2 linked regions of the Styela clava genome follow. The protein of the gene in region 1 interacts with the protein of each later gene in a pairwise test. Links are inferred from orthologs where the notes say so. Each region holds a gene or a part of one and is shown on either strand. Other genes may lie near its edges.

The links.
Region 2: the proteins of phospholipase D1-like (region 1) and astrocytic phosphoprotein PEA-15-like interact in a two-hybrid assay, tested with the Homo sapiens proteins (2 studies listed by BioGRID). The link is inferred for Styela clava from reciprocal best matches to the Homo sapiens genes PLD1 and PEA15.

What each region holds. Positions count from the first base shown.
Region 1 is NC_135251.1:23,604,314-23,621,442, forward strand, and holds the start of phospholipase D1-like, read right to left. Parts: upstream 7,534-17,129; 5' UTR 7,377-7,533; coding exon 7,211-7,376; intron 6,696-7,210; coding exon 6,539-6,695; intron 5,810-6,538; coding exon 5,681-5,809; intron 5,059-5,680; coding exon 4,935-5,058; intron 2,066-4,934; coding exon 2,000-2,065; intron 1,551-1,999; coding exon 1,492-1,550; intron 1-1,491. Other genes in the region: protein PHTF2-like, read left to right, coding at 12,408-14,564. UniProt on the Homo sapiens protein: Function as phospholipase selective for phosphatidylcholine. Implicated as a critical step in numerous cellular pathways, including signal transduction, membrane trafficking, and the regulation of mitosis.
Region 2 is NC_135253.1:16,806,688-16,823,268, forward strand, and holds astrocytic phosphoprotein PEA-15-like, read left to right. Parts: upstream 1-10,510; 5' UTR 10,511-10,556; coding exon 10,557-10,743; intron 10,744-11,579; coding exon 11,580-11,744; intron 11,745-12,306; coding exon 12,307-12,392; 3' UTR 12,393-13,191; downstream 13,192-16,581. UniProt on the Homo sapiens protein: Blocks Ras-mediated inhibition of integrin activation and modulates the ERK MAP kinase cascade. Inhibits RPS6KA3 activities by retaining it in the cytoplasm. Inhibits both TNFRSF6- and TNFRSF1A-mediated CASP8 activity and apoptosis.

The sequences.
Region 1 (17,129 bases):
GGGTAATCCGGTTTGCCATTATCATGTTTAACATGCATTATTAGAAACCCACACATCATAATGGATCAAATCTATGACAGAAGAATTTTGAACATCAGTACACAAAACCGTCATAAAATTATTATTTGCTAACGACATGCCATAGATGTCTTTCCCCACAAAAATATACTGTATCCATGGCCCATGTACGACTTCACCATACTAAAACAATATTTTCTGCCTTATAAATTCCGCAAATAATCTTAAAAATTTCTTAAAAGATGAATGACATGAGTAAGGTTTTCCTTCCATTTTACACAGGAATAATATGACAGTTGCATTTATGAGTAATGCACAACATCACTTAATGGCATTATGTATAGCATTGTTGACGTTTTATGCATGGATTCAATCCTTAAACTAAAAGTCAGACGTCATTGAAATTTTCTGCTTGAATAGGACGTCCGAAACTACCTCCTCTTACAAATAACCTTGTTTATCCTATCTATGACATCAAGAGAAAAATAAATAATTGAAAGATGAATGGAGGAATTTAGTATAAATGATTGCAAAATAAAACGCTTTTTTGTGAAAATCATTCTGTTAGCTTCACATATCTACCTAAATAATTGCTAAATTCTGATTCAATGACAAAAATAAATATTAAAATCCATATAAAATAAATAAATTGTGCTGGAATTAACCCAGTTGGTATTACAAATAAAAAATCGTAAATTCAAATCCCACACCCACCACATTAGCCAGGGGGTTAAAAATTGGGTTGTCAATGCTGAATCGAAAGAACCCAGTCTTTCTAAAATATTGTAGCTTCTTACTTAGCAGTGGCTTCTTGCACAGAGCCTTGTTTGGAGTGAAAAGAGTATAAAACAACATAATATGAAGAATTCTCGTAATATAAAAGAAGAATAAATGGTAGTATTAAAAATTCATAACATTTTATTCCAGAGTAAAGATTATTAAAAAAAATATTCACAACATCTCTGTGATTTATAGTAGACGATATCTGTTTGAGGTTTTTTATTCTTATAATAAGTTACCAAATAGATACATTACATGGAACTAGTTGTTGGTCTAAAGTTTTCTTCAAGTAAGAAGTACAACACTGTTATTTAAATTTCCGGTTGACAGCATTAGGTTTTATATATCACTTATACAGGTGATACTGAAGCTTCAAACCGGTTTGAAAACAAAATCGAAACTTTTTGCAATGGCACAATGGTCCGGTGTCTAATTTCTAGATGTGTTTATATTTGACGAAACCAAAAGTTATTTCAATGTTATACGTGCGGTATAAGTGATCCTTTGATATAAATTGGTGGGGTGACTCGCATAGATTGTACAAATAGAGTTTAAGTAAACATCAACGCATACAAGTCTATAAACATGGCACACCAAAACAAATAAGAAATATGGTCGTTTATTAAATATTAACTAGGAGAAATATTCAATGCCTAGCTGTTTTGATATTAAAGAATTTTACAGAACACTTACTTTCCTTTGGTCCCGAGATCTTGGATAAATGAGAATCGACTGACTTCCAAAAATTTTTTCTGGAATGTCAAAATCATAAAATTTAAGTGTGAAATAAGAGAATAATTCAAGAAAATACACTATGACAGAGTTGAGTTTTACTAGTACATTGGACTGTAAAGCTGAGAAAACTTTTCGCTTCAGGTTTCAGAAAATAAGATTGTTTCGAAATAATAAAGATTTTGCACACACAAACACACTTTTTGAGTTTCCATCAGTAAATTTTACTTAGATTATTACTGATTAAAGTCTGGAATACCAACTGTGTTAAGTCTGAAATGACTCCCTCTCAGAGACTTACATCCAATGTACATACCAACTTTGAGTCTGTGGCTCCACATTATATTTTTAATGCACATGACGTCAACCGGGCTTATTATTGTAGGAGACCGAATAAAATTCAAAATATTATAGGAATACAAAGAGAAAATGGTTAATTAAGCTACTCAAAAAGAAAAACATAGCTTACCATTGAACTGTGCTTCTTATACATTGTACTTTTTAATAAACTGTTGACATAAAGTTCAAGATGTTCCTGAAACACAATTAAAATCCATTGTTAAAAAATATATTGATCATTTCTCTTGGTATGCATATTCTACACTGGCAAAAAATCTACAAGGTAAATTGACATAGAATCCCACATTTTGCTGATTGCACTCCCAAAACCTTCAAATTCCAATAAATAAACTTTTATTTTGGGAGTCATCAGTGACTAACAAGGTGGTCATAGAGTAACAACACCTCAAGATATAATAAAAGTTCAAAGGGCATGTTGCATAGCCACTTTCCAACAGGAAGTAACCTAGGAAATATCATTTAGTTTCAAAGTTTGTGAAACATCAGCTCCAATTGCATACAACATGGCTTGTCCTAATTCTTAGCTAGAAAGTTTATTGCATAGTATGTACTGCATCACATGCATCAATTGCATTTATAAAGATATGTGCTTGTCATAGATGGTCTATGAAAAACAAAATATTTGAACTGATCTAGTTTTTTGAAAATCAAAATCAAATCTATTTATATGGAAAATAAACATTTTGTGCAATAGCAATTCGTATAAATAGGCATACTTCAACAATTCAAACTTTAGTTATTATTCATGAAGTTGTATATTGACAAATAGTATTGTTAAATTTTTTTCACTTTTAGCATTCACAGCAATATATTGCAAATGTAATGATTCAAAGCTATTTGGAAATCACAATTACAAAATACAGTATAGGTATGACATGACAAAACAGTTTCGGTATATACAACATTATATAACGGAAATGGAATCAGACAATCAAGCACAGAACGGTGGAATCATTTCCGGATAAAGTCCACAGCTATTTTAGCTAAGATGTTTCCTGGTTCCTTCCGTAAATAGACATACTAGTTAATTTTCTAGGCCATAACTAGGAATGTACATGACTGAATGAAAAAAAATTTAATTTCTAATTTTTGGAAACTAAAACCGTTACCAGGACATATCTATCACCATTGTCTAAGATGTTGAAGCTTTATTAAAATGGCATCTAAAATGTCAGTACATTTCAATGTCGTTTAGAATTCAGTAGTTTTGAAATTTTCATGATTCGTTGTCCGTTCAAAAACTCTCAATATTTTTTGCCTGCAGCTCTTTTATAAAATTACCTAGTTATGATTTTAAGGCGTTTCTACCAGTTGTTTTGTTTGCCATATTAAATAATGAAAAGCCAACAATTGGCAGCAAAAGAAAAATACATTACAGTCAAAATACTTTAAATTAGTGTAGTCATCAAGAATAATACAGTGTGGGCTTTCGCTCATGTGTTTCGGAGAACAAATCTGTGTGGCCCCCATGGCAGGGCCCTGATGGCCCAGTTGAGAAGGACTGATTATAATGGAAAAATGAAATTTTTTATTTCAATTGCTTATTATAATTTTACATGTGAACTGAAGTTCGGAACTACGGTAAGTAGATAATGGAACTATGAGATAACAAATAATTTTTAGTTTCAAGATCATTAAATTAAAAAATGGATGATATGAATGATAATAATAAGCCTAAAATTCAAGAAAACAACAGGGAAATGAAAAATCATTCACTTACTAATAATTAATGAGGTGGGATCAAGTTTGTCCCTTGGAAGCATTAGCACACTGTAACAATGACATTAATCCACGCGCATTCAGCAAAAAATAGATAAATATAAAAAATAGTGGGCAGAGAAGAAATGTTTACATTTAAAGCAACACTGCCCTAAAATGGTAATACAGGCGGGCACAAAAATAGCAAATACCTTACACCCAAGCAGAGTCAAAATCAAAATGAATTACAATGATATTGGAATGAAATATGAATATTCTAAATGGTTCATGCTCTACAGAGAAATTGGAAAAAAACCTTGTAAATTCATGAAAATTTAATTTAGTCATCAAGATTATAAATATTGTGTCTGCTTTTTTTGTTCATGTCAAATACATTATGACAAATTTTTAAAATAAAATATTCTCAAATATTCTTAAAATCAAGAATTTCACATTGATTCGATTATTCGGTGGAATGGGTATTCGTTCCTACCAAATCCATAATTAGACCATACAACAAAAATCTACATAAAGGTTAATTTTCTTGTTTCAATCTTCAAAATAACATTTTTCAGCAGTAGTTTCAAGAATTTTCTAGAATTACCACAATGATTTATAAATTTTTTTGCAAATTGTATACATCATACACAATTTTGATATTTGATCCACTTAAGTCGGAATAATGAAATTACGTGTCATTTGTTTTGATATTTGAAATTCCAATGCATAAAATGCCCTGAGGTAAAATAGCTACGACATTGCAGTTAGTTTACAATATCAAGCAATTTGCTGCATCCTCATTAACAATGAACTGAAAAGGTCAATATTACATGGAAGAGGCTTTACATATGATAACAATATTATATTATGAATAAATTCATGGTGTGGCCGTTTGGAAGCTTTGAATGTATATTTGTGGTGTAAAATAGATTGAAAGATAATCAAGAATTGCTTTTTCTTTAAACGCACTAATTCACAAGGTCCTAGACAGGCAGCCACTGAACTCTCAATTGTTAGCAATTGGAAATGGGAAAAGTGGGTAGAAGCCAATTTCTTTTATTTCTATCGGAGTCCTATGTGGCCCAATATTCAACCCCAAATTTTTTTTTCATATAATTTACTGGCTCACTTTTAAATGAAATACAGTAGAATTCTTTCAACAATTTTGCAGTGGTCATAATATTAGTCATTTTACCTTAGTATATTTCAGCAAACCTCTTATTTAAAAACCTGACAAGTTGCATAAATGATACTTGCAATGTAAAACAAAGCCTGACTCAAACACGTCATATATGCATAATCAAGCAATAAATGATATATAAATAATTTTGTTCTACCAAACTCACCTTGCGTTTTGTGATTTGTTCTGGTGATACCCACATATCAGGCCTCTTCGGAAATCTTGGTAATTTAATTTCTGCCTCACCTTTCCGTTTGTCTACTTTTACTGTTTTTCGCTTTTCTTTATGACTGCAAAATTTGAGCAAAAATTGAAAATAGATTGATAATAAAGAGGTATGCTTTAGATACTAAGAAATAAACGAATCAACAATAACATGATAACTCATATACCAACTACCAGACTCATTTTTTCAAAGCAAAAAATATCAAACATGAAAAAAGCAGCCAACTATGTGAACCCAAAATTTTATTAATTTAAATAGGCCTAGGCCTACATGAAGTATATTGATTTCAAACTCTCCAGAGTCGAGTAGACATTTTAGGCCAATCAGGCTGTCTGGTGGTGATAATCTAAATCAAACTTTCTGACAGAAAGTATAAAAAGCATTTGAGCTTCAAGCATTCTCAGTAGACAATTAAGAAGGAAATGCATGCACCATAAGCTTTCAAAATTTTTTTTTCAAAGTTGGGAGATGCAGTCAAAATAACTTTCAACCTAGAGTCAAGCATTGGAGTCAAATATTCAGTAAACCAGGAGTTTGTGGTCAGAGTCACCTTTGAGGTGGCTCAGATAGTTTCAAAGCGTTAAATTTTCCCGAATTCTCAGCTCTGGTTATAATTCAATAACAACGAGAAACCCATGCTCTATGAAAATCCAGGCCCAAACAAACCTATTACCATAGCTTGTTACCTTTTTGAAGGCAGTGGAATCTTCAATGATGTTCTATGAGCCCATAGTTTGTCATGGAGTTCACGAAGATGTTTGAAACGTTTGTGAACAATCCATGTAAAAGGACCATGACTCACTTCAATTGTATACCTAAACAGAAAATGAAGTCAATATCAAATCACTATTATCATCATCTTAGATATACAGAACAGAATATTACATTATAATGATGCCTAAACCGGAGAGCAACATATTCTGGAAAAGACATACCGGTAATCCAAAAGATACTAATATTAAAAACAACCAATAGCATTTCTGAAATTCATTCTGGAAGAGACGAAAGTCAATAAATAAATTACTCATAAAGCAAACCACAAACTCTCATCCGGTTGCCAGTCTAGATTGTGTATGGGAATAGATATCCTGTTGATTGTTGCATATGCATGGGACAATAATAATCATACATAATGATCATTGGTCCAGTTATAAATACAAAATCTTAGCTGCAAGTGGGAAATGCTTTATTCTGTAATCTAACACTATGTGCATGGAATATCTTAATACTGAGGTGAGAAGAACTGGAATTTCCAATGAAGCATGTTCAATTTCCTCAATTTGTTTTGGTTGTAATCTGAGTAGTAGCATCTAGTGGAATAATAGACTGGCTATCAGACATTTTTAAGTTAAAATCTAAAAAGCCGGTAGACAAACATCCCAGCCACTATGCCCAATGAAGGTTAAAATAATAACATACTAGTACTGAAATTAGCCACTCTGATATTTGATGGTGTCAATTATGCCACTTAGATATATGAGTTTCTTCATAGCATGTTTAGTATGCGAAGTGTATGCTGACACTATTCAACAAACAAATCTTACAAGTATGGATTCAATGGATGATGAAGAGCATTATCTCTTGATGCTTCAATAAATTTGAGAGTAATTGGCGTTCCAGATAGGAATCCTGAATTCAATCCAGCAAAAAGTCGACTTGGACTGCTGTATATCGACATATAAGGAACTCTTGGCTTGATTGCTGAAAATGAAAAAGAAGTTTTTATTGGTGCAAGTGAAGAATTTAAAATATAATTTATTTCAAGTTAATTCAATTCCTCTTCAAATCTAACGATTCCTAAAAATTCCCAAAAATTAGAAATTTCATAACTCATTATGAATCGATTCAAATATTCAGGTCATTTTGAACATCTTTATGATGGCAAATTTTTCAATTTAGTACTTTTAATTATTTCTAATATTAAGCATTGAATATGACTAACTTCAAATCTATTCAACCATTTGATTCACTTTGTACATCCCTAAAAGACAGCTTTCAAAATAAAATTGTTCCCAAATATTCCTGAACTCAAAGGTTTGTCTGAATATAATCTATTTTTAATCAATTTGAAAATATCTTTGATTTGAACATCCTTTGTAAAAACATGCTTTTGACTTATTTTTTTTATTTATATAAATTCATTTATTACTCATAACAGATTCGCTTTGCTTATCTTTATCTGTATCCAGATCTCAGTAATAAATAGCCCAACTTACCAAAAGCACTTGTAGTAGAAGGATAAGTGGGACTATCAGGTTCTTCCATTCCTGGCGATGGCAATGGAAGAACTTCATATCCCTCACCATCGTCTGACATCACTGTATCCAAGCGATCAAATGAAGGGCGGTTCCTTGCCCTCGCATTAACTCGATCTTGTGCCATATTGTCTTAAGGTGATCAAATACACTTACATATGCTGAGTAAACTAACCCAAACATTAATGATTAAAAACCACGCTGGTTTGCCAATATTGTCATTATTGAACTACAATAGGCTACGAGTCTTCATTGCCAATTTACCTGTGAATGATAAGGTACACTTAGAACCATAATTAACAAAGATATGTCGAATGTTTAGGTAAACGAAATTTAAATGTTTTTAGTATTAATTTTATATGGTGCCTTTTTTATTCACGCCTTCCACCCAAAGCAAGAACCTGTGCAAGCCGCTACTGATATCAGGCAATGTGTAAAGAGATATTATTTTTATCAAAAAGTTAAGGTTCTTTGATGTTGAATCACGAATGGCCAAAGTCAAACAGTTTTCTCTAGTTTTTGAGAAATTGAATGCAGGTCATAATGCTCAATATGATACGATAAGTTTTCAAATAAAACTATCCTAATTAGTTAATTAATTTTTAAACGATTTCCAATATTTCAATCGTTGTGGCTTGTGGCCAACTTCATGTGGAATAATATATATAAAATAGGTCAGGGCTATGTTATAGTGATTTTGTAGCACAACGTATTATTCGAGTAATATAAAATAAAAAAGAACTCTATATATCTATAACGCATTCGGAGGCTCTTTGAATCCTCACCAATTACTATATAGGTCATAACATATTTCATATCTGCAATGTGTGTTGGGAAAATTTCCTTTCAATCAAGCAGCTGCACAGACAATTTCCTTCATTTGCATAAAATAAACAAAGAATAATAACATGAATCATTGCAGATATGTATTATTACAATCATGTTCTATTCCAACAATGCTTTTTCTATTTTTTCCTTCACAAGTAATTTTGGACTATTTCCGGAAAGGAAATGACCTCATAACTATTCCACAATTAGTTAATTTCCTCTATAGACATTAGAAGATAGAAATTGTAATTCCATATTTTATTTTGTTACGGTGGGTATTTACATTCCTGCTATCATATTATTTAAAGACTAACAATATTGCAATAGGCATTGCATTGAATGTAAAAATTTATTATATCGAATTCAAAACATACCTTATTACACTATGTTCAAATTCAGAGCATATGAAATCTCAGTAAAGGCTGATAATTAATTTTTGACAAGATGCAACTAGGGAACACATTCATTCGAATAACTTTTGATAATGCAAAACTTAAAAGATTTGAAATTAAGGTATTCTCAAAACAATTTAATGGCAAACTCCAGAAGCAGTTAGTTTGGTAATTGGTCTCAAAGCTACGAAAGATAAAAGCAGTGCTTCCCAACAGAGAAGGATTTCGCTGTTTCAGAAGGAAAAATTTCACTTTGCATTTGTATGTAGTATTACTAATATTCTTTTTTTACTTACTCTTTTACTCTATCATTGTAATTAACTATTCAAACAGTATAAAATAGTACAAATCATTAGTATCACTAGCTAATGATTCAATAAAGACTGAACTAACACTAATAAAGAGAGGAATAGTAAGAGAGGAATAAAGAGGTATACACAGGAAGGAATTTGATGAAAAATGTTGGGAACCACTTAATTGAAGGATGTTGTATAAAAAATTTTGATTGATTATTTGACCTGATTGATTTTTCATTGTATATTTATAAAAACATAACAATAGGTTTTATTTATCAATGACTTATAATTAGGGTAGGCCTACATAGGAGCTACTGTGTTATTTTATTTATGAAAACATTCTATTTATAGCAATGACTGTAAAGCTAAACCTCTTACAGTCTTAAAAATACGCTACTTTGCAAATTTTGTATTTCAATGTATCTTGTTCTCCAAATTTATTCTAGTAATTTCCAAATGATGCACACCTTCGCTTGGAAATTTTTCTATACAAACAGCCATTTATACATTGAATGTTTTTCTGTTTATGGAATTAAAAGATATTGCAAAGAACATGAAAAGAAGGCATAATTTTTTCACATACAGAAACCAGGAAACCTTTCATTGATATACTAAGTTTATCTGAATTGCAGCATTGTTTGTCTGTTTACTTACTAGTACTGAAAAATGTACCCTATAATTAAATAATGACATAAATTATTACAAAACCCTTAATTGACCATTCCACATTCTGACATATGTTTTCCATTGTTGATCGCCATGTACAGATGTATGTACTGATGTAATACCAAAGTCTTATAAAACATATGAAATGTTTCCATCCATTCATCCTGCAATTAATAAAATATACGATTTCGTTAACGACGACTTCTGTAATTGAGTTGTTCTAAACTTCTGCGTGGATCTTCAACCTAAACTACGCCACATGCACCCACGAATCAGTTAAACCGCGACTGAATTATTTTAAGTTTGAAATAGGATTTGCACAGTTGCTCCAATGCAAAATCTCAGAAATTCATTACTGCTACATAGCGACTACTAGCGAACAATTGAATTACAGACAAGGAAACCGAGAATCGGCACTGTCATTGAATCTGCTATGAAACAAAGGACTTTGAGCCATGAGGTCGCCCTCCTCGTCAGGTTTATGATTTTACAACGCGGGAATTACCGTTTTTAAGTTGCAAACTCTTTATTATGTAAATAACTGAACTGGTATTATGAAAAGCTCTCGCAATTGGCAGTAAGAAAGATATTTTTAACCCCAAGTTCAAGGGGTAGAATGGGTTGTCTTCAATAGACAGGCGACCTACGTATGTAATATATATTATCGATTGTTGTTCTTCGCTAATGGTTCCGCCAATTTTCAGTTATATTTGGTTTCCTCTCCCCCGGGATAAATGTGTAAATATACTACTATTCTATCTGTACATCGCATTAGATGCTTTTGTCTATCGTTTGCTGTTGAGCTTGTTTTATCTTTATCAAGCATTTCCTGTCAGTTGAAGCAACGGACGGACATACTGACATAAAGCTATAAAGCTCAACACACGGCAGTACGGTACTGACATAAAGAATGTTATAGCTTTCAACAGCAATACATTGTGCTGTTATTCACCCTTGAACCACTATCTGACCGTGGCTGTACTTAGTACTGTTTCTGAATTGTGAGTTTTTGTATCATGCAAGTGTGAAAGAAATAACTTCAGAAGATTGAGAATTAACTACTACTGTACTATGAAATCAAAAGTGATACATCACTAGAAAGAAATAGATAGATTTCAAAAACAAGCCAGAAATAATGAAAATGTATAATTAAACTACGAACAAATACTGAAATAATTACAACGAAATACAGATTAAAATAATGAGAGAAAATAAAAAATGTAATAAACAGATAAATGAAAAATAGTTAATAAATAAAAACATGTCTTCAAGTTTCTTCCCAATTCATATTGCTTCTATAATATAGTTTTTTGTCACCAAAAATTCAGAACATCGTCGAAGTAGCTCACTCAATAATGCACCTGCTAAACCTGTGTTATGTTTTGGTATGCAGGTATGTAGTTAACATATACATGAATACAGAAATAATGTATATACACAGTTCGACTTTTTTTTTGTTATTATTTCCTTGTTAGACTTGCTTATGGGTGCCGCTGCTCGATAACCAAATTTGGTTTCTCGCGGCTCCCCTCACCCTGAAATGCCTTTTTATTTATTTATTGCAATTTGTATATCAAGTGTGCATTTAGTATGGTGAGAAAATAAACTACTGATTACTGATTACAGAAATAATGGACGTAAGAGATTTGACTTCTCAAAAACACTTATCATTTCTCGGCTGTGACGAAGCAAGTATTATTTCTAATATAGCATTTTCACTGTAGAAATTTCCACTAATAAGTTCCTGAATTGCTCAACTAACCTCCATTGATTCGTATCAATATTTTCCTTGTAACATAAATTGTTTAATTTATGCGAATGTGAAATGATTTTTTTTTACCATCAATTATAAACAAGTGAATGGAATGGGGACAGGATTTTATTCCTTTACTTCTTAGCACTACAGTCTTGAAGCTAAATAATTAGTTATTATTGTTACATATAACTTTATATAGTCTGATATTTTGTCCACTTTCTAAATTTATGATTCTTTATGAAAATCCACTTATACCACCTAAATAGTGAAGTAGCAATTTAAGTTATTAAAACTCATTCTTCATTCTTGTATATTTGGAACACAAATTCAAATGAAATTTTAATGAATTAGGCTAGTAGAAGTAATAAAGACTTACCATTGGCTTATTATGCCACTTACCGGTATTAATATATTTATTACAGTATGTGGTTGTGTATACCAGGGGTGCACAACTCAAATGAGGATATGTGCCAAATTTTTCAAAATAATCTTGTCGCGTGCCACGCACAATCGTTGGTATTGTAAATTAACTCCCGTAAAACAAACAAATTTCAATAATATTACATAATAACAAATATATATTTATTGAAACAATTTAATGTCCTGAAAAACTGCTGATTTTGATATAAACGTAATATTTTAGTGTATCTCATAAATATTTTTTTTTACAAAACCATTCGTGTGCAACGTTTGAGCGTATGGCGTGCCAAATTTGGCACGCGTGCCCTGTGTTGTGCACTCCTGGTGTATACCATACTTCTCTGTGTTAAAATGCTGGCAGACAACAGTAACTAGGTAGTATATATTGGCAATATCTTTTTCTTTCATTCTTGTTTACCTTTATCATCGATTTGCCAATTAATTTTTCCTGGATAATGATTAACGAAAAATCTCAAGAGAAAATTGTCATTAACTTCGTTACACATTTATATAACTAGTGAACTCTCGAAATAATGAAGTGTATTAATATGATATACGTATCTGAGCAAGGTTTTCTAATTATTTTACTTCTTTTCATCTTGAATAATTGTCCAAAAAAGTATAGAAATTTTACTTATTTTTTCAGCTGGTAAGTGAAGATGAATGTATAAAATAGCAGGGCATTCTAGTATGCTCTGCAGCATAAACTGACAAACATCCTACTGCGGTACATTGTACAAACTATTTATTTATTCAATAATGACTGTGACGTGAAAGCTTTTGAAAAAAAAAAGTAAGCGATGGATTCGATGTTGTCTTGGTACCAGCGGAAAATTGGTGCTTACGACTTGCAAATATGGGAACGTGCGGTGGAGATCCGAGAACAGCAAGACAGCGGAATGAAATCAATGGATAAAAGAAGTTCTAGTGTGAAGCCTGACCTCATCGACATTGACCTTGTTCGTGGATCAACGTTCAGCAAAAATAAGCCACAATATAGTTGGCTGGTTGTAACTTGTCAAGCTTTTATCAGAGTATCGTTCCTACCACTGTATGCTAAATGGTGGATTCAGCAGAGTAGTAAGCCGATCACATTGTTATTCTTCCTAATGTATATTCTTCAGTTTGTTGTTTTCTTCATTTACTTCAATGGAACAGAAGAGGAATTTAAATATATTTCAACTTCAGAAATAATGATGCCATCCATTGTTATGTTCTTATTGGGAAGTGTGCATTGTCATGTCGTATCCACAAATTTTCGCTTGAATGTACGAAATGATTCTCGAAAAATGAAGAAGTCTAGAACTCTCTCTTCTGCTTTACTTGAACCTGTTGTATGCTCCTCATCAACTTCACATCAAAGTACTCTCTCCCTACTCACCTCAACCTTCACTAATAAGGGTAAAGATAGTACAGAAAACAATAACCATTGTTCTAATGGAATAAGCAAATGCTCATCTGAACATAGTGACGCAGAGAGTGATACTCCTTTGTTAAAAGATGAAAATGTGAAATCCAGCACAGTCCACGAAAATGGAAAAATAAATGCAAGTCAAGAACAGTTGCCCATAGTGGAACAGTCTGAGGAAAGCTTGAACATTACCAATATGAAGAATGGTGATATACAGCATAAAAGTGTTGCGGACTGTGACAAATCTACTGATAATAAAAAAGACGATTTTAAATGTTTACGACAATCCAGTGTAGATAGGGAATCTGACGAAATCAGTACTGACAGTGTTGAAAATAAGAAACATGGTCGTCATGGTAATCGCCTTGAAAATCTAAATAGTACAAGTTCCAGTAGTAATTCGTCTGAACAGTCTGGTGGCTCGGATTCAGAAAGTACAAGCACAAATGACAATAAGACAAGATACAACAAGAAAGCACGAAAAGATAATTATTCAGCAACTGTTCTGCTTCCGGGCTCTGGTCCACGTGTTGATCGAATTAGCGTAAAAATTTGGGAGTCTAATCAGTGTAAAAAGGTTCAAGCATCGTTATTGGACATTGGAGGTATTATCAGAAAAAAAGTGCAGAATGCTTTTTCGCCGAGTGATATGTTTTTCATAGGATTTTGCTTTGCGATACTGATTTCATCTATTCCTACCTTATATCGCATTTGCTTTCATCAAAATGCTAACAATAGTGCAACCAGCCACACTGGTTCAACAATGGAGTTTGTGAAAGGACTGGCGGAAAGTTTATTCATGGTTACTCATGGAAACACCACTAACTTCAAAGTCATTTTTGTTATTTATGCTACTGCAATGAAACGGTTTATCTTCAGCTTCACTTTTTTTGTTATGCTTTGTGCTGCTCATAAAACGTTTAGGCAAAGACTGTTATTTGCGAAGTATTTCAGCCACCTCACTTCATCAAGACGGGCAAAGAAATCAGACGTTCCTCATTTCAGACTTGATAAAGTGGAAAATGTTCGATTATGGCTGTCTCTGAGATCGTATCTGCGACGTCGTGGGCCACAAAGATCAGTTGACGTGATTGTTTCTTCAGCATTTTTTCTTTCTCTCTTCTTGCTTTGCTTCATATCGCTTCAGTTACTCCATGACACTGATCTATACCTCTCTTCTTTAATTTTCTGGGAAATGACAGCATGGTTACTTGCCTTGGCTATATTTTTACTTAATTTTATGACGATCGGTGCCCAAATTAACAGAAAATACAGCAATACATCGATGCTGTTGACGGAGCAGATAAATTTATATTTACAAATGAAGCAGAAGCCTAATAAAAGAGAGGAATTACAGCGAGCGAACAGCGTTCTCTCAATTGCTTCAAAGCTTATAAAGGAAATAGAGATGCCGTTTAACATTTACGGTCTAGCGATGAATCCTCTCTTATATAATATCACAAGAGTGGTTGTGTTATCTGCCTTTTCAGGCGTCATCAGTGAAATACTAGGCTTCAAATTGAAGATTTGGAAGATAAAACCATGATAAGTTCGTTGAGAACTTGATAAATAAACTCAATCATTTAAAATGTTTGTTTTTTTAATTACTGGTTAAAACTGATACATAACCAAGTCGCCAATTTTTTTTCATATTCCATCTGTGATGGAGAATGCTTGTTGCAATTTATCATTGTAAATATTAATATTTAAGTGTTGTTACCTCACTGTATCATAGTATTGTATCTGTGCTTTGCTCAGTGTTCTGCTGCCAATATTTGCCTGGTGTCATATTTTAGCGATGCATAGTGCAGTGCAACATGCGTAGTTTTACCTGTTACTTTTGTTTTCTTCTAACTATCGGTATTATCTTCTTTAACATCTTATTTTTTGGTGCTTTGTTTTGTTGAATAAATTGTATGTTGGTAATTGTGGTACATTTAAGAATATGCTGCATATGAAAGATTCAGGCATGTTCAGCACATCGCTACTTTTTAGCATTATAAGACTAATTAATTATAACTGTACAATGAAGATTCCTTGAATCACCCACTGCCTATTGAAAGGCTTGACAAGGTTGATTGAAATGCCTGAAATACAAAACGCTCTGACATGCTCCCATTATATTTGCTTTGCATTCAGACCACTGGAAGCCCAATCCCATGACTTTTCCTAGCATTTCATTCAACCATAGATGATTGAGCCATACACACAATGAAAGTTCCTTTCTATCAATCTATTTCTATAATACTATGTTATTCCTATAAACATGAATTGGTGAGTTTGGACCACACAACAGCACTGTCTCATTGGAAAGATTTAAAATACAACATACTCAAGTTGAGAAAACACACTCTAGATCGGTTGATGCCAATTTAATTTAGAGAATTTCTCCCAAGTTACATGGCGGAAAGACAGGTAGTCGTTAACTGTTTTTGAAGGTTTTTGTCATCCAAATTCATGAACGTAATAACTTGGATTAGATTGTGCAGGTCTGTGCAAAATATCCTATACCCGAGCCTAAAAAGAAAAACACACATAAAACAACAACATAATATCTCCAAAGAACTCGTATATTTATAGGGAAACATTTAAAAGAGAAATTTACAAGCGATACAATTTAAACCAGACCTGAAGAAATCAAATATGTAAAAGTTTTAGATAAACAAAATTATAGAGTCCATAACTATTTATTGGTATTTTCGAAGCCTGGGCACACACTGAATTTTTTTAATACCTCTTGTGTTGAAATTAATTTTGCAAGGAGAAAAGTTTTTTAAGAGGTTAGTAGAGGACAGGTCAATAGAAAATAAGAGGTGTTACTAGAATGGAAGATTTAAGAGAGTTGGTTGGTAATAAGTATGGTACTGCCTTTGAACTATCGTTTACCAAAAACAATGAGAAAAAATCCATAAATGGTTTTGGTAGACCTAATGTATAGTAACTGAACCAAACCTGTTAACATCATATTTTAATATACAATTCAACTTTATATTTGAATCAAATGAAGGAAAAGGAGATAGAAGAATGTGAGAGAAACAAAATATACAAAAATAAAAGGTATTATTTTACAGTAGAAGAAAGTTAATACTGATGAGTGGATATGGAAGCGTTAATGGGCATATGTATAAAACAGGGTCCTGTTTGAACAAGTTTAATCGTATTTAACAATTCTAAGACCAATTTAACATTCTAAATTATAATTATCAACAGTAACCATACTTTTACCACATGTGAAAAAAGGGAATGACTCCCTGTAATATATATTTAAACATATTTTCGGCACAAAAACTGTGCAAAGGACGGGTTATCTATCTTAAATAAAACTGAACGAACTTCTCATTGTGATATGAAACTCTTGAGAAATAAAAATGCAATTTAACCAAAACTAAATCACAATAGTTGAAAATATTTCAAGCAAAAGCCACCAATAAAACAAAAAATATGCACAAAATAAAATAACCAGGCAAAATTTTAACCAGTACTCAAAATAACAAACAAAAAAGGGCATAACAGTGACAAATGAGAATATCAATATGCACAAGTTAATAAGCATATAATATGGCTAAAAATTTATAGTACGAGACAGAAAACGAAGATGAAAAGGAAAACGTTTTTGATATATTTTTTTCAATGCTGGCCAGTTTTTATATCAATTAATTACCAGAATACTCACTAAATTTAGTTTAATTCAAGATTAAAGAAGTGTCTCTTTCAGTATCTAATCATCAATTTTCAATCATTGCTGGAACAGTTAGAAACCACAAAAATTTCCCTTTCAGCCAATAATTGCCAGCTAGGGCATTTCTCCCTACTTTTTTTAATGTAGTTTTAGTTACCTTACTTTGATGCAATAGATTTAATTCAAAAATGAACTTTAAACAAATCAAATAGAACTACCGACACACTATAACATAAATGAAACCCTCAAAAACCATTCAATTTTGCTACAGAAAAGTTAAACAAAACTATAATCAACAAAAACAATTCAATAAAACACTCAAAAAGGCAGTAATTAAACCATTGCACCATACTATAGCATTCATAAATATAAATTCACTCCTTTGATTGAAAATGTGATTGCGTTCTGGAACTTGCATGAACTATAATATTT
Region 2 (16,581 bases), on another chromosome or scaffold:
TATTACTTTTATTTATTTCAAAATTTTGCGTGAATTCTATGAAATTTGATATTTCGTTTAAAATTTTGCTGTATTATTTTTTATCCATGGGAACACGGATTTTAGTCAGTGTCGTGACTGGCTGTACGTTTTGATTCTGCAAAATTCTTGCTACTGGAAATTCAGAACTTTTTTGAGGGTACCGGTAGCGTCAAAGGTACCGGTTAGGACTGATTCGCTCTGGTCTAACGTGTCCATATATTTGTGCGTAGCTCTCTTGTTGATTTTATGTTTTTCTTTTATGTTTTTTTATGATTAATTTAATGACGATTCGTGACTATTCAGCACACTTATACTACTATATAGGCTACGGCATATTTGATTCAGAAAATAATGGCTGTTTCTGTAATGCACGTTTGTGTGAAAGAGGGTAAATAATCAATTTTACTAATGTCAGTTGGTCTAAATTCCAAGTGTGGTTTTAAGCTTTTCGCGGCGTCTGGAGCTGCCGCAAAACCATGGCGGTATTTCCAAACCACGGCCGCTATGGCCAAACTCACGGCGACTGACTTTTTAGCTGCCACAAACCAATGGCGAGTTGCCGTTACCGCGGCAGCAAATTGAAAACCGATGGCGGGTAAAATTTAGCTGCCGCAACCCCGGCAGGTCAGGGCTGCCCAGATGGTGACAAATATTGGGTAAGTTGGAACATTTTTTTTATAGATACAGTTTAGAATAGATGTATTTGGGGTTAGGTTTCGGGTTTGAGTAGATATATTTTCGCATGATAAACTGAAATCTGGTAAATGACTTTGTGAATATACCGGTAATAGCGACATAAACCATGGCAAGAGCCGCCGCGGTTCGTTCGTGGCAGGAGCTGTCATGAAGTGGTAAGAACTGCGAATCCTAAATTCAGTCGACAAGAGCCTGGGAAACAATGATAAGTTATGCCGGAGTTGGAAGAAAGTAGCATTGGGAGCGATTGAGAGGTGAGAAATCAAGTTGTAGACTGACAGTTAATGTTTTAAAATATAGTCTATATGGCATTTCAGACTGTAATATATCAGAATTCACTGTGGTGCTGTGCATATATGCAAAAACTGCGGGAATGTAGTGCATCAGATAAAATGCATTATTTATGAGAAGTATTATTCAATATTTAGTGGTATTTTTACGCTCATGCAGTTCCAAATATTTTCTTCCTCGTTTTAGATACTGTACTACAAAAGAAAACGGAAATGTCCACCAATTCAACCTAACGCAGGCTCTAATCCAGGGGTGGGCAACTTCTCTAGTCGGCGGGCCAGATGTGGAAAAATGAAGTACTCGACGGGCCGGATATTACAAAAAATACTTCGGTATCCAATCTTTATTAAATGCTCAACACTCTCAGACAACTTTACGTTTCTTGGGATATTCCATGGTTAATAAAACTTAATATAAAACCTAATTTCTAAAATCTATTTATATTTAGAATCTAAATATAAATATATCTGATAACAGTAATGGGGAATGTTTACAGCGCTCTCTGCTTTGACCTTATATTGTTTGTTTACAAGTGTGCTAACGCAATTGTTTGTTCACAAAGACACTTGTTTATTTCACCAGCTCGCAATGACAGTGCGGTGAAAGTAGAGCGATCGGCAACTTTCAGGAATGATGTGTCGGAGCATATTACAGAGTGTGGTTGGATACAGTCAGCGGGCCGGACAAAATCTCTCGAATAAAATGGATCGAACAAGAAGTCTTGAAGCGTAAAGGTATAGGAGAAGATAACAGTCGCGAACAGCTTAGATAGGCTATTCATAATGAAATACTTCGGCACTTTTCTGCAATTGTTTTCCAATTCATTTTTTCCCAACTATGAAGATTTTTAATATGTGACTTCGTCGCATAAAAGTTGATGCGTTTGACGAGTTCTATGAAATTAAAGCAACTTTTTTATTATATTTCGTTGTAAACCTATGATTTTTGGGGAATTCCCTATATATACTATTTTTGCATAAGGATTTTTGAAGCATGTTTTACAGAAAATGTGCAACCTTCGTTAGTGGGAACAAGCTGTTAATTAAAAAAAAAGAGCTCGAACGTTGAATAAGTAACGTTACGTCATGGTGCCAAAGATGCTCTCGATATCACTTGGATGATGTAGTGGGATTGATCGAAATGACCAGTGGTTCCGGCATGACGATGCGACCCCACACACATTCAACTGGCTGAGAGAGCGATTTCAAGAAAGGCTGATCAGCAGTGACGTCGAGTGTGCATCAATAAATCGGACTTGAATCCTCGACAATTCTATCTTTAAGAGCAATTCTGAGGACAATGTGTATCAGAACAATCCCTAAACAATTGCTGATCTAAAGGCTACAAGTACAGCAAAAATCAGAGAGATCCTCATAGACGAATGTGCGCGAGTGATTGGCAATTTTGTGCAACAGATGCAAGTCTGTCTCCAACGCCGAGGACGGCATTTGGAACATAACGTGCAAGACGCCTAGAGTTTTGAATCTTGTACCATCACACACAAAGATAAGTTTAAGTGTAGACAAAATGGCATAATTTAGTCCATTTCGTAAAAGTAATTGAGAATTTTATGGGTTCTGTTTTTTGGAGTCAAAAGGGTGGTAGGCTATTATTAACTAATTTGCTACTAAGTTTTATATCTTATTTTGGAGTATTCTTGTATCGTATCTCTCCAAATGGTTCGCCAGTTATAATGTTTAGTATTTTCTTTGTATTCTAGAACAGTGATTCCCGAAGTGGGCGATATCGCCCCCCAGTGGGCGAAAACGATACAGAGGGGGGCGAAAAAGTCTAAGGGGGCGATTTCACGAAAGCTGTTTTATGTTCGGCGCACTTAATTCTGTACTCTGTGTGCATTCGCGGGCTTGAATCATGTGAGCGATGTTCACACGCGAAAGGATTTCTGGTCTCGTCTTTGCAGTAAGGTAAGGTAAGGTAGTTTACGTATCCCAGTGGTCGACAAAATACTGCCGAAGTAAAATAATCTGGCCCGGGACGATTCACTGAATGGACCTTTGACCGCGGAAAATTCTTTCCATACTTTACCATTTGAAAATTTTCGGTGCTTATTTTAAGAGTGGTTTCGCGAGCTGTGGCCTGTAAAATGGGGTATTTGATTCAAACTATCATTCTAATACACACCATTTAACAATCTGTTTTTTAAAAGTACCGATAAAGAATTTTAGCCTAGTCTATCACAGCTATTTCTACACTAATTTTTGATTGCTGTATTTAAACTGAAACTCATAGAAAGACAAACTAATCATTGACTTATTTCATTTAAATTTCCGAAAAACAACTAAATACTAACGAATATAATTCAAAACGCGAAAATGAGGTAGTGCTCACGACCACCCCCGAAAATTTGTCCGAGTGAGAGTGTCTGACCTCCTGCGAAAGGGGGCATTGTTACGTTTTTTGCATCTTGCTGATTGGCCAATGTCACGAAGTAAACAAGGAAGTCTATGCCCGGGGAAATATCCAAACGGCGGTTTTGACGATGAAATTTTTTTATTTATAATCTACGCTCGAGGAGTAAATTACATTTTTTTACGTAACAGAATTTATCGTGAGACACGTTTAGAGTAAATTATACTATATGCTAACAATTTAGTGAACAGCCACTCGTTTAACGAGCCTACAATTTAATTATAATTAGACAAATGGAAACACGCAGAAAAGTTGATGCTGAGTGCAGGGGTTCAATAGCGCAGTAAATATTCGAATATATTGCAAAGCAATAAGGAAATAAAATCCATATTCTATTCGAGAGATTCATCACTGCTTGATTTTTGTAAGAATGTATCTCCTTAAAGAAAATATATATTTATCAAAATTTCACAAATCGTGCGAAAATATTCACTTCGATGTTTGGAAGTACATATTTGTGCAAACCATTATTTTCGAAAATGAACATTACAAAGAACAAGCAAAGAAGTGGGTTTGGTGATGCCCATTTAGAAAATGTTTCAGTCTTGGCGTCGTAAAGCTATCCAGCGCGATGCAGCAACAAGACAGTGTCACATTAAATGTCATTGTAATATTTTTTTAATAGGACGACTGAGTTGAGTTCACGATTGTCGCAGTTTCCGCGTGTGTTTCGTTTTTAACTCTCAAAAAATATATGCGACCCGCAAAAGACTAGCAACCCTGAATTTTGTCCTGCGAGCGACATAAAATTTGTCGACCCCTGGGCCGTAGCCGATAGTCAGTCACGGCTTCTTCCACATCCGAGTCCATGAATCCAAAAAAATGGCTGGTTAATCATGGAATGGAGGCCGTGATGGGATGAGGAATCGGGGATGGATTTTTCCGAAGTATTTTGGTGCAGGTCATCAGGCTGTACGAATGAATGAAATGTTCAAAAATTATTATTATAAGTTTGGGAAAATTAACTTTGTTCTTCTTATTTTAATGTGAAATGTGGTGAATTTAGGAAGTGAAATGCTATAAGGCAAGAGTACACGGCGGTTTTTGAGAAGGTAGGACCCTGGATTTTTTTCATTTCCGACCTATTATATGGTGAAAAAGGGGTTTTCAGCCGTGCTACTATTGCTATTAGAACAATGAAATCACCTTTCCATCAGTAAATGGGGTAATTTTAGATGTAATAAAAAACTCGCTGAAGAACACCAAGCTCATCTATCTCATTAAAAAACACTATAAACTATGATTTGTCTTCTTATTTGGTCTGTAATAAATTCGTTTCTGACTTTATATTTTTTTGTAGTGCAGGGGGGCGATGAAGTTGTATAAACTACTTTAGGGGGGCGATGGTCAAAAAAGTTTGGGAACCACTGTTCTAGAATACTTTTGGATGTTCTTGGTTCTGGTCAACTCAGTACTTGCGTTTAAAATAGATCTATAGTCAGGCCTACATTTTATAGCATCTTTCAGGGTCATCTAAATAGGGGAAGGTGGGGCACGTTGGGACATGGGGGCACAGTGGAAAATCAGCTCTCACACTGATACTATATCCGCAATCCTGTCCGCGGTTCGATGTTTCTTCGGTGAGTTACAACGTCCCCGCGAACGGACAACGGACGGGTAAAGCAGCGCAAGCTACGAGGTGAAATTGGTTTTAGGAGGTTGAAACTAAAATTTTACCACTCCAGTTATTTCTTTTTTTTTACTTTAGCCTTCCCAACATGACAAACCACCGTCTGATAATTTTCAGCTTCAGTCCACTGTAAAATATTCATAACGTTGAGTGGATGTGCCATCCGAATTCCGCCATGGGATGGTCTGAAAATAATGGTCCGGGATTCAGTGGAAAGAAAATGCCCTACAGGGCACAATTCGACAGTGTTTGATACAATAAGTGCTTAGAGACCTAGAGATGCGGTATATTTTGTGTAATATTATGGTTTCTTCCGACCCATGGCCCAATATGGAGTATTTCCGAGAATCAATAATATTTCCAGATTAGGATTAGAGGAAGAAAATAGTCAAATTTGTTTGCGAATTTTTTTGTCAAAATATCTGAACTATTTTAGTTGAACATTTTTTTTTAAATATTTTTAAAAATATTAAAGCTTCAAATTTGAAGTTTCCCTGTTCTTTAGACGTTTATGCTGATTAATTGCTTATTTTTAAAGGCATACCTAGTTGAATTCTGACAGACTGACCCATTGTGCCCCAGGGTCTGTCCGAATGTGCCCCACAAGTGGGATACAGTGGGACACTTGACAGACGTTTTTCAAAGCATTTGGGTAGTAAGATGTGTGTTGCAAAGGAATTTCTTAGTCGCTGAATAAAAACTACATTTACCCCTCTATGCATTAGTCCCGCAAACGTAAGTGAATATGCATAATTAACGGCTTAAAATATGCAAAAGAAAAAAAGTGTCCCAACCTTCCCCACTTTCCCCTACACAAAACGACGGCACAAGTACCATGCCCACTCTTCAAAGTAGTGGTTTCATACATAAATAGAACGCTAAACAATTATTCGAATTGTATTTGGTTTCGTAAAAGTTGTAAACACGATTATTTAACTATGAACTTGTATATATATATAGTTACTTACGGTGCCATATCGCGATGTCACTGGCGCGGCGGTGTGGCTCAACGGGCTAAGCGTTAGGAATACGCTCGCCACCGCACCTCTAATTACTCTGCGTGGGTTCGCAGGTTCGAATCCCATGCAGGGATGGTTATGTGCGAGAAGATTGCTGGGCTCCTCGCCGTCGTTGGGTGGTTCACGTTACCGCTGGTCGGTTACGGCTTCCTCCACCACCAAGTTCATGCTTCCGAAAACAAACAATATAACTAATCCCATACCCGACTTGGAATAGTAACCGGACGAGAGGCCGTGGTTCGCCATATGGATAAGCCGTCTGTCTTATCGGCTTTCCTCTCCCCGGGATAAATATGTAAATCTATCCTATCCACTATTGATAGGGCCTCTAGTACGGTCCATGCATTTATATCAATAATATGTAAATATGTCTGCAGACTGCAGAGGCGATCATCCGCATTCGAGGTAATATTTAAATATTGTATACAATTCACTTCACTCAACAATATCGAAACATTTTGATTCAAATGCTGTCTGTTTGAAATTCTGTTAATGCATCTTTCAATATTAATGTTGCTGTCGATGAGCACGTACTCACAATCTGTCGTCTCTTACACAATATTATCACAGCAGACAGCACCTCATCTCGGATTCTTATCGCAACTTGTCGACTTTTATATGATTTTTCACAGATCTATAGTGATTGCTCATATACGACGAAGACGAGAATTGAAAATCAATTGAGGCAAGTCTAGTCAAACTCAATTTTCGCTCAGGTAAGTGAGACAGTGGGAAGCAGCAAGTCGAAACATTTACAAATTGTGTAATGTTCTGATCTAAATGAGCCATCTTCCAATGTTACAGTTCACGACTGAGTCATTTCGCATTAATCAAGTCGAATCAGTCCAAATATATACGTCATTTGAATATATTTTTCGTTTCCAAAAAATGTTACTCAAGTATAACCCGAGTCGACACACATGCCAACCCTTTTCATACGATATTCTGTGGAAAGATAATCTGAGCATAAACAATAAATAACACTTCATGTTTATACATCCAACAGTAATTGTCATAAAAGTGTGGTGGCATATTGCTAAACGAGATTAGATAACACTTTTTAAACACCTCGGGTCCTAGCTCAGTCTGGCAAGACAACAATCCAGTAAATTGCGGTATAAACGAAAAACATAAACTGAGTAATCAGACTGAACCAGTGGCTATCACTTTCGCCTAATTTAATTGGAATATCTGATTAGAGATCTTAAGTTGTTCTAGTCAGGGTGTAAGAAGTCTGTCTTTTTGTTGTTTTGAATGATGACAAGGTATCAACTCCTTCATTCATATATATTGCCTCGAAAAATGTGAACTAGTGGGTAAACCGTAGCACATATAGAACTTAACTATATTTGCATCGCATGGTTAAGATCTCGGACGAAAACCCATGAGACTACCTTGTAAAGGTGTGATAAATTGGGTAGGCAGTACCGGACAAGAAAGATAAGGGCCCTTCCTAAAATAGTATCCTACTGCGTAGAATTGGCTGCTTGAAGAGCCTCGTTTGCAGTGTAAGTATGATGAACGTCTCATAAAACAAAAATTATGTATTGGTCTCACTAAGAGCTTCATTCAACTATTGGTAATAACAATATCGGATAATTTAATAAGTTTAAGCATAGTGGCGATTTTTTCACATCGGCTATGGAAAGGCGTTGTAAAATTGTTTTTAAATTTACTTGTTACTCTGACAGTATTGAGGTCGGGGTTGCTACAAATCCCATATCATGCAAGTGTCAGCTCTGTCACAGCAATGAATCAAATCGTCGTCCTTAGCAAGTCCGTGGCAGCTTGTGACTCAACTATCAGTCGCATATTATGGCTTTTAAATGGTGACACACAATTGAATTTTATCAGTAGTTAATATAACACAAAAAGCAAAACCATTACGCTGCAATGTTTTATTGTGTTTATCCTACATACAATTATTTTCCGATCAATTTGCTTTAAGTAAATTGGGTGAAAATTGCTGCCAAATCATCCCATTCTTTGTTGCCAAATGTGTTGAGGAAAGGATACTCATATGGATGTTCAGTCGTTTATATTAGCATTCGGTTCTCAAAGTTCGGAAGGAAAATTCTGCAATTTTAAAAGTAAAACAACTCATGTCATACATACTTGAACTTGAAAACTCGCTTTGTCACTGATTTAATAACAATTTATCGATCGCCTACGACATATTGAATAATTTTTGCATTGATTACACATAGGGTGGCAAAAACCCATACTGTATATATATATATATGGTATATGACAACCCTGATTATCTTGTCCCAAATTCCACAATCAGTTGTGTTAACTCTATGTATATCTTACATAATATTATGAAAATACCTAAAAAATACACAATTTGGGTAATTAATATGACTCTTAGATTCTAGAAGCCAATGTGAGTTAAGGAGTAAAAGTTAAAACCGAGCTATACGTTGTAACTTTGGAATGTGAACAACGGATAAGCTATAGCGTGACGGAAATGCCGATGATTTCGTCTCGAGAAATGTTTTTATTCGTCGGTTGTCTGGAAGAATACGTCATTCTTAGTTAAACAGTTATGTCTGTGCGATGTGTCTAGTGAGGCCCAAATACTATCACAATCCAGAGTCTGTGTGTGCTTGCGAAGTAAAGTAGGCATCCGACAGAAGTGAGTTTTAGAGAAAACAAGTTCCCACACAGGTGAAGTTCAGAATTTACCTTGTAGCGTGGGAGACATGGGAATGATCAAAATATTATTGTGTCGAGCTTATGCTAAAGGCCTGAATGCTACCAAGAGCAGAGGTATATACTGTACAGCTGTATATAACTCAAAAACTGCTTTTGGATTGTTGAGTCCGGTAGGTCTGTAGGTTATAAAAAGTAATCCTCAGATAGTGTCAGAGTGTGTGTTTTATTGCCAATCATCCAGTGTTGTAGTTCAGAATATTAAAAAGAATTGGTGTTCATGTTAATTAGGTTGGTAAGACGCCATGTTCGATTTCGGAAAATATACAGCGAGATCAGGTTGTTGTAGTAAGCAAACACCCTATGACTCACTTGAGTAATTATATGAATAGTGATTAACCTTTAGTAATTGATAGTTTTGTCATTTCGATATAATTTGTATAATATTCATATATGGAAGAACATTCATTTAATTTCTGACCTGATAAGTCGCACTAATTCGAAATTTAGTCTGTGTGGAATTGATGACTCAAATCTAGTCAAGTACTGAACGTTGTTGGAAAACACAGTTAACCGTAATATCTGAGTCTTCAAATATTCAAACGCAACTGTTTGAAAAGTCACATCTGGTTTTGATGAAATTTTATAAGCGACAGAATATGGGACACAGATAATGCGCGCTATTCGATTGTCTACCTCGGGGACTTGATACGAATTCATCGGTTTTGTATCGTTTCCTGTCGACAATGGTGTGTACTTAAGTGTCGTACTTCGCCTTATACGTGACTTTCTGATTTTTAAAATTACAGCTCGACTGCTGAATCAAACATTAAGGTATGTAAAACGCTATTATGGGAAACTAATTAGTAGGCACAGACCCGACAATTGAAACGGCAACTCTTGCGATAGACATATAAAGAACGGTGTTTTCGACGATGATGTTATTTACCAGAATTTGACCAATGTAGAACATGAACCATGGATAAAATACGACTTACCGGTGCATTTTACAACTTGCGATTGCTTGACACAGTGTTGATACCAAACGAGCACAGTAAGTTTTGTAATTGCAAATAAATTGTAAAGATTTTAACATTCGGGTCATGCCGGAGACAAGCGTGTATTATGTTATTTCGTTTATACTTTTAAATGATCTTTCATGTACAAAAACTACTTAGTCAACGATAATAGTTTATAAATTAGGAAGGAGTCGTGTATTGAACGGAATTACCAAACTGAGCCAAATAAATTATGCTGCACAAACATATTTAAATAATTTTGTCGATTTCAATTCTATAATTTGCTCCCAATAAGTCATATGATTTATATTTTATCTCCGGATATGCTACATAAACATATTTAAATAATTTTGTCGAATTTCAATTCTATAATTTACTCCCAAAGGGTCATACGATTTATATTTTATCTCCGGATATGAAATTTATATTACGCGATAACACGTACTCCCTAGAGAACGCGGTTAGTATGTCGATAGAATAATAGACTTGGCGTTTTTTAAAATAACAATCTGCCGGTGGTTCATATAAATGTAAGACAGTTTTGGGAGTAATGAACAATTTTATATGTTCAATATTTTCCAGTAGGACGATATTCCTCCCCGAGAGACGACATAATACAAAAACTTTTCCGAGAAAGAGTAAACTCTGCGAAATTGCTGGTGGAAGCAAAATAAACATTCATTCAGTCGATATTTCATCAAAATACCTAAATACAAACAAAGCAAGTAATACCCGCCATAAAATTCAATCGCATTTATAACCTTACAGTTACGAGTTTATTATTAAAATTATAAAATGACAAAAACAGATGAAGAACTTGATAATCTTATTGCGCTTTTGAGCAAGAAGATAACTGAATCTGATTTCCCGCAACTACGAGATGCTTCAAAAGATGAGGCAATCAAGGAGTGCGATCTCAAGCGTTTGTCGTCACCAAAGGAATGGTTGACATTTCTTCGTGAAAAGAACCTTTTGTCCTCAGGTTGGTAATTTGAAGTTTTAGGAAATTGATAAAAAATTATTTTAAGTGCAAACCAGTTCATTGCTATTATTGTCCAGACTCTAATTTTTGTTACTATTCGAATAGGAAAACAAACGAACAATCAAAACTGGCTTGAAGTTAAAACCAGTAAATTAGCTGTATAATATATTATAATATATAATATAATAGACCTTAAGTCATTTGAAGCTTGTCCCACACAGGAAAAAGTGGTATAAACAAACGATTTTTACATTAGGCCTCATGATCATTGTTATTTGAGTATAAATTTTTATTTTTCACAGTTGGGGCCAAATTGCGTATTGTTTGTCAAACAGCTCGTTATTTAGTTTTTTTTACTTAACTTAAATAAAAGGATACTTTTGTGGAACGATTTTAACGACTCCTCAGCCATTATGGTCATGCATTTTGAACGATCCCATGCTAGCTATTCCTGCACCAATAATTAATCCAGCGAATAATACCTTTTGTATATTGTCACAACACGAACATTCGAGATTAAAAGTCCACTGGAAAACATCGAACTTTCTGGTCTTGGTAAATTGTTTCAAAAAAACAAAATTTTATTCATTTTACCAAAAGTAAGGAAATATATATTCAAACTTGCTGAAATTTGCAAAGTTTCCCAACGTACAGCACTAAAACTAGCATAAATGCAAATTTACGCTTTTATAAAAATAAATGCAAATTTATGCTTTAACGACCATATTATTCTCCACATGGCATATTGCTAAAATTTGTTCGTACATGTCGTGTCATATTTAAAATGATATGGTCAATGAATATTATAATTTATAAAATAATTTTTGTATTGGCAGATGATCCGAGTTTCATCGAACATGTTTTCGAAATCTGTCGTAGACCGGACCTATTAACAATTGTTATGGAGTACAGAATATCAAATTTAGGTCTTCAAAACGAAGAGGAATTAGGGAAAAAATTAATCCGGGTGCGAACCTCAAAAAAATATAAAGGTTCTCCAGGTAAATAAAATATTTATTACAATGCAAATATTGCATTGGCATATTATACAGTTATAAAAATGAAATTAAACGGCTAGAGAATTTTGAGAAATATTAAAAAAAGAGTTGTATATATCATCCGTCTTATTAGTCTTGAAAAGCAATTTACAACAAACTCATATATACATGTATATATATGTTTATGCGTTATCCCAGTTCACGACAGTTGAGCAATAAATGCGTTCAAATATAATTTGCCAAAACGTGTGTCATATTTGAGAACATTTATCGAGTCACTTTTATTAATTCATTACTCTAATGTATTTTAAGAAATTGTTGAAGTACCAAACTCCTTCCCAAACTTTATCGGTGAATGCTTCCATGATCATATCGACAAGGCTTCATTAATAATTGACACATATATATTTTGTAATGTTACGTTAAACGCGTTACGTTGAACGTATCTGATTCACATTATTTGAAGTACAACATGATGTATAAAAATGTATATAAAATTGTAATATTTATTCATAATATAAAATATATAACGGTAATTATTACTAGCATCTCGTTTTATTTTTAGACCAACCGGATATCGAACAAGGAGAACCGGCGATAAAATTATCTGCCCCCCCGAAAAATCGACGAAAAAGCTCATCCACTAACTGACTCATTCCCATGGGATATTCGTTTACCAGATTGAGAGTATAGCCGTAACATTTCATATTACAATACAAATTTGTGTAATTCTCGTCATAATTACCATACTTATCAATGTAATTATTTTTAGCTGCTTTTTTTCGGTACTCCCGTAGTATGTGAACCAAGATGGCGGACACCGGGACGTAGTATGTGTACCAGGTTAGGGTTAGGCCATAATTTTATTCCAATTTTCTTTATTTTAGTTCTATTACGATTTCGGGGACTAGTCAAGTGACATCCGTAGTATTTGTACCTGAAATTATGGCCTAACCCGGTACACATACTACGTTCCGGTGTCCGCCGTCTTGGTTCGCATACTACAGCAGTACCGTTTTTTCTTACTAGCTATGATAGCTTTTGATAAAAAAAATAATAAGTTACTTAAAGTCTCGAAAACAATGTAGCAAACTATTTTTCACGGTATTCTGACGCATGATATTCGTAAGATTTGTGCAACTGATTTTATGTAGCGTTTTACACCTTTTATTGGAGCGAAGCTTTACCAAAAAGCAATCGATACGTAAGCTGCGGTTATTACGTGTTGTAAGTACCAATATATTTCCGTACCCACACGGTTTATTTACACACTGAGTGGCCTGCAAGGTGTTGAATCTGATATTGGAGCATTGTTTTTACTGCGTTGTGTTTATTTGAGCGCGGGTTCGCTGCACATACTTTGATAATGTAAATTTTTGATGCTTTTTCTGTATCATTTGCTATCTGTGTAATTTATGTCGTTTATCTGTGAATACATTTGTGCTGAAAATTTCCGCGTGAAACTGTATCTAGGCTTCGTGTCATTTGTAAGATTCATTCTGAGTACCATCAGCGTGACTTGTGATAATGTGAGGGTGAGTGTACATTTTGTTTAGTATAGTAAAATGTATTCAAAATCGCTAAACAAATTTGATATTCAAGTTTTTTCAAATAAAAAATGTTCATGAATTAATTTCCAGCTTTCTGTTATTATTATTATCTTAATTTTTTTCCCACTTATATATTTTGACACTTTAAAAATCGAAATGATGTTAAATGCCAGGAGACGAACTTGCGACTATTCATAGTTCAGTTTTACTTCCGAGCTTCCCTGTCAAATGAAGCAATTGGCACCCATCCAATCATTTTCTTGCTACGTAAACACGCGATTAAACAAACTAAAAATAAAGCTTTGCTAACGTTATTAGAAGAAAGATTTGAAAAAATTACGCTTGATCATAAATAATAACTCATAAAAACAATTCTTCATTGAGCATATAAATGCACGGCTGTCATAGTAACATCTTTGTTGAAATCGACTCGCTGTAGAGAAAACTTTACTGTTAGATGTAAAAATCATCGACCGAATAGTGTTTAATAATTGCATTTTTTGGATGTTTTTATTCAACGTTCTGTGCCATCAGAAAAAGATTGTAAGTTGATTTTGTCTTGAATATGCAACAAATGCAACTTTTTCAAATATAAAGTCCGTAGCGAGACGTAAACAAGCCAATATGCGTCATATCAATGAAATGGCTGAGTGTGTTATATCCTTGATGAATAACAAAAATATCCCATTAATATCATATGCAGAGCCTGGCCATTTGATGAAAATGCCGAGCGCGGTCAATGATATGTCTTACACAAGCTCATATTCAGCTTCAATCTACTCACCCATTCAATCAGAGCGTAATCGCGTGATATATGCCGATATACCCAGCTATTTACTCTCAAAGGCCCACTCTCCACAAAAATAACCATAAATATTATTTTACCATTTTGATATAATATAACTACATTATTTTTTGAATAGAGCGGAAAAACATCTGGAAGTAGTAATTTGGAGTCAAAATATCATAGTAAAAACATATTTGGTAAAACGACTATGAAGTCGATGGAGTGGATGCAATATTTTGTTTACAAAATACCGGCATGTATAGATTCATATAATTCTCGGTACTGAGAGCATGGAGGATAGGATTTAAAACCATGTGTAACATTGATAGCGGATGAGAAATAAAAATAACATATTTAATCAAACTATTAATGGCAGTAGGGACAGGTGTATTATTATTTACAACGTTATATATAGCAAGTCCATACCATACCATGTCGGCCGAAGCAAAAAGAATGAGATAAAATATAAACACAACCAATATCATTCCGATATGCTTAGCAGTCTTTGCATATTTTTCTTTTCTCCCTACCTTCGGGCGGCAGAGGCGATAAATAATAGGTGGATACGTTACAAGTACTACCAAAGCTGTAATGCTCATTGCCACTAATACGAGAAGCATTGCACAATTCATATACAACTCATCAGTGATCAGACCGATGTCTCTTTCATCGTTCTTCATTTTGAGCATTCTCAGACCTATCGGTGCTATGTGAAGCGGTATAGTTGCTCCTATGGAAAGAATTAAGCAAAAAATGGACATCCATACACCCGTTTTATTCTTCATCCAATCTCTTGCTTTGAATGGAAAAAATACGGCAACAAACTTCAAAATCGATAAAGAGGAAACAATTAAATTTGCAAATATTCCCGATGTTGTCAGCAATGTAGACCTCATTTTGACGTAAAATTCCATAGTTTCTTGAAATGAAAGATGATGTACGTAACTATAAATCTCCACTCCTACAAAAACTGTTAAAGCGATCACGTCCCCGATTACAAGACTCAACACCAACACGTTAGTTGCAACATTGAGTATGGTTTTTCTATAGCGAACAATCAATGCTAATAGAAAAATGTTTGCAATGTACCCAAATATTACAACAATCCACCAAAGAATGTCCGATACCAGCAGAAATATTTCCATGTCTTCAACAAGCTGTGCAGCATAATTTGTAAGCGCAACATAGTTATTGATAAAACGAGTTTTTGAGCCTGGATTTACTCCCACCGTTGTAGTATTACTGTCGTCATTCGGATTTACTGTTGAAACCAAGTCGAGGGGGAATATTGACCCATCCATTGGTATCTAAATGAATAAGACAAGCTGCTAAAAAGAAGAGGACCAGTTATTTTTCACAAAATGATTTGGTGGATAGAAATAGAACCCAAATCAAACATAGAACTGTTTCACGAAACAATCTCATATATGGTATCAATTCTATCGTTTTAATTCAAGTGTATTTAGCACTGCTATTTGAAGATTGCTAAGAATATGTATAAAAGTAAATAAAACTTTCATGTTTGACACGTGTGATATAGCTTGATTACGTGCAGCTGTATGGACCCGACCCTTGACCCCAGAAAAATTCTCTACTCTATATTGCGAACTTTTTTATGCGCATATTACGAATGTTTTGGAGAGCTGGCTCTTAGACGCTGGTTTACATGTTCAAAACCATCTCCTTAATTAAAATTATTCAACCACGTGGCTGCGAGACCAATTTTTGATTACTGCCATTACTGCCTCTAAATACTTCGATTGTCAATATATCCTATATTGACAATCGAAGTATTTAACTATTTTTGGGAACACAACTGAAAACAGGCACATATCACGCAAAACTACGAAAACGAGGCAATGTTTACAACCATGCTTGAATATCTGTCTGAGCGACTGCAGAAATTGTAATTGTTACGTCATTGACCACTTATTGCTGGTTGGTTGTGATTACGACAATAAACAAGGAAATCGATACTCGGGGAAACATCCATTATATGTAAGGATGGCAATTTCGGTTATAATGCATTGACTGTTGATGAGACAAAATTGATTGGATAACCACCGAATTTTACTGAAGCTTTCGGCGGTATTTTTCAACAATACCAAAGGGGTTTCATATTTACGACCTGAATGCGCACTTGTTGAATGTCGTTTCATAGCCGTTCTCAAAATACAGTCAAGGAACTACGGTAGATTCACGAGAATTTATCCTGACTGATAACTCATTGCTTAATTTCTATATTTTTAAGTGTTAACTATCTAACTAATATCGGTTAACCAATCAAGAGGCTAACCATTGTCCTTCATAAATATATTAGATTTTGCAATGTATGCACGATATAATTTAGTATCCTGTAGCATTGTATTCTGGATATAAACATTACAAAGTCCACTGTTTCTGACTGAATACTCTAATGTGGATAGATACCACGTACAAACTATAGGTGGTAAATTGACCAATTATTAATTGAGAAAAGTCATAATTCACTCTGCCTCAGGCT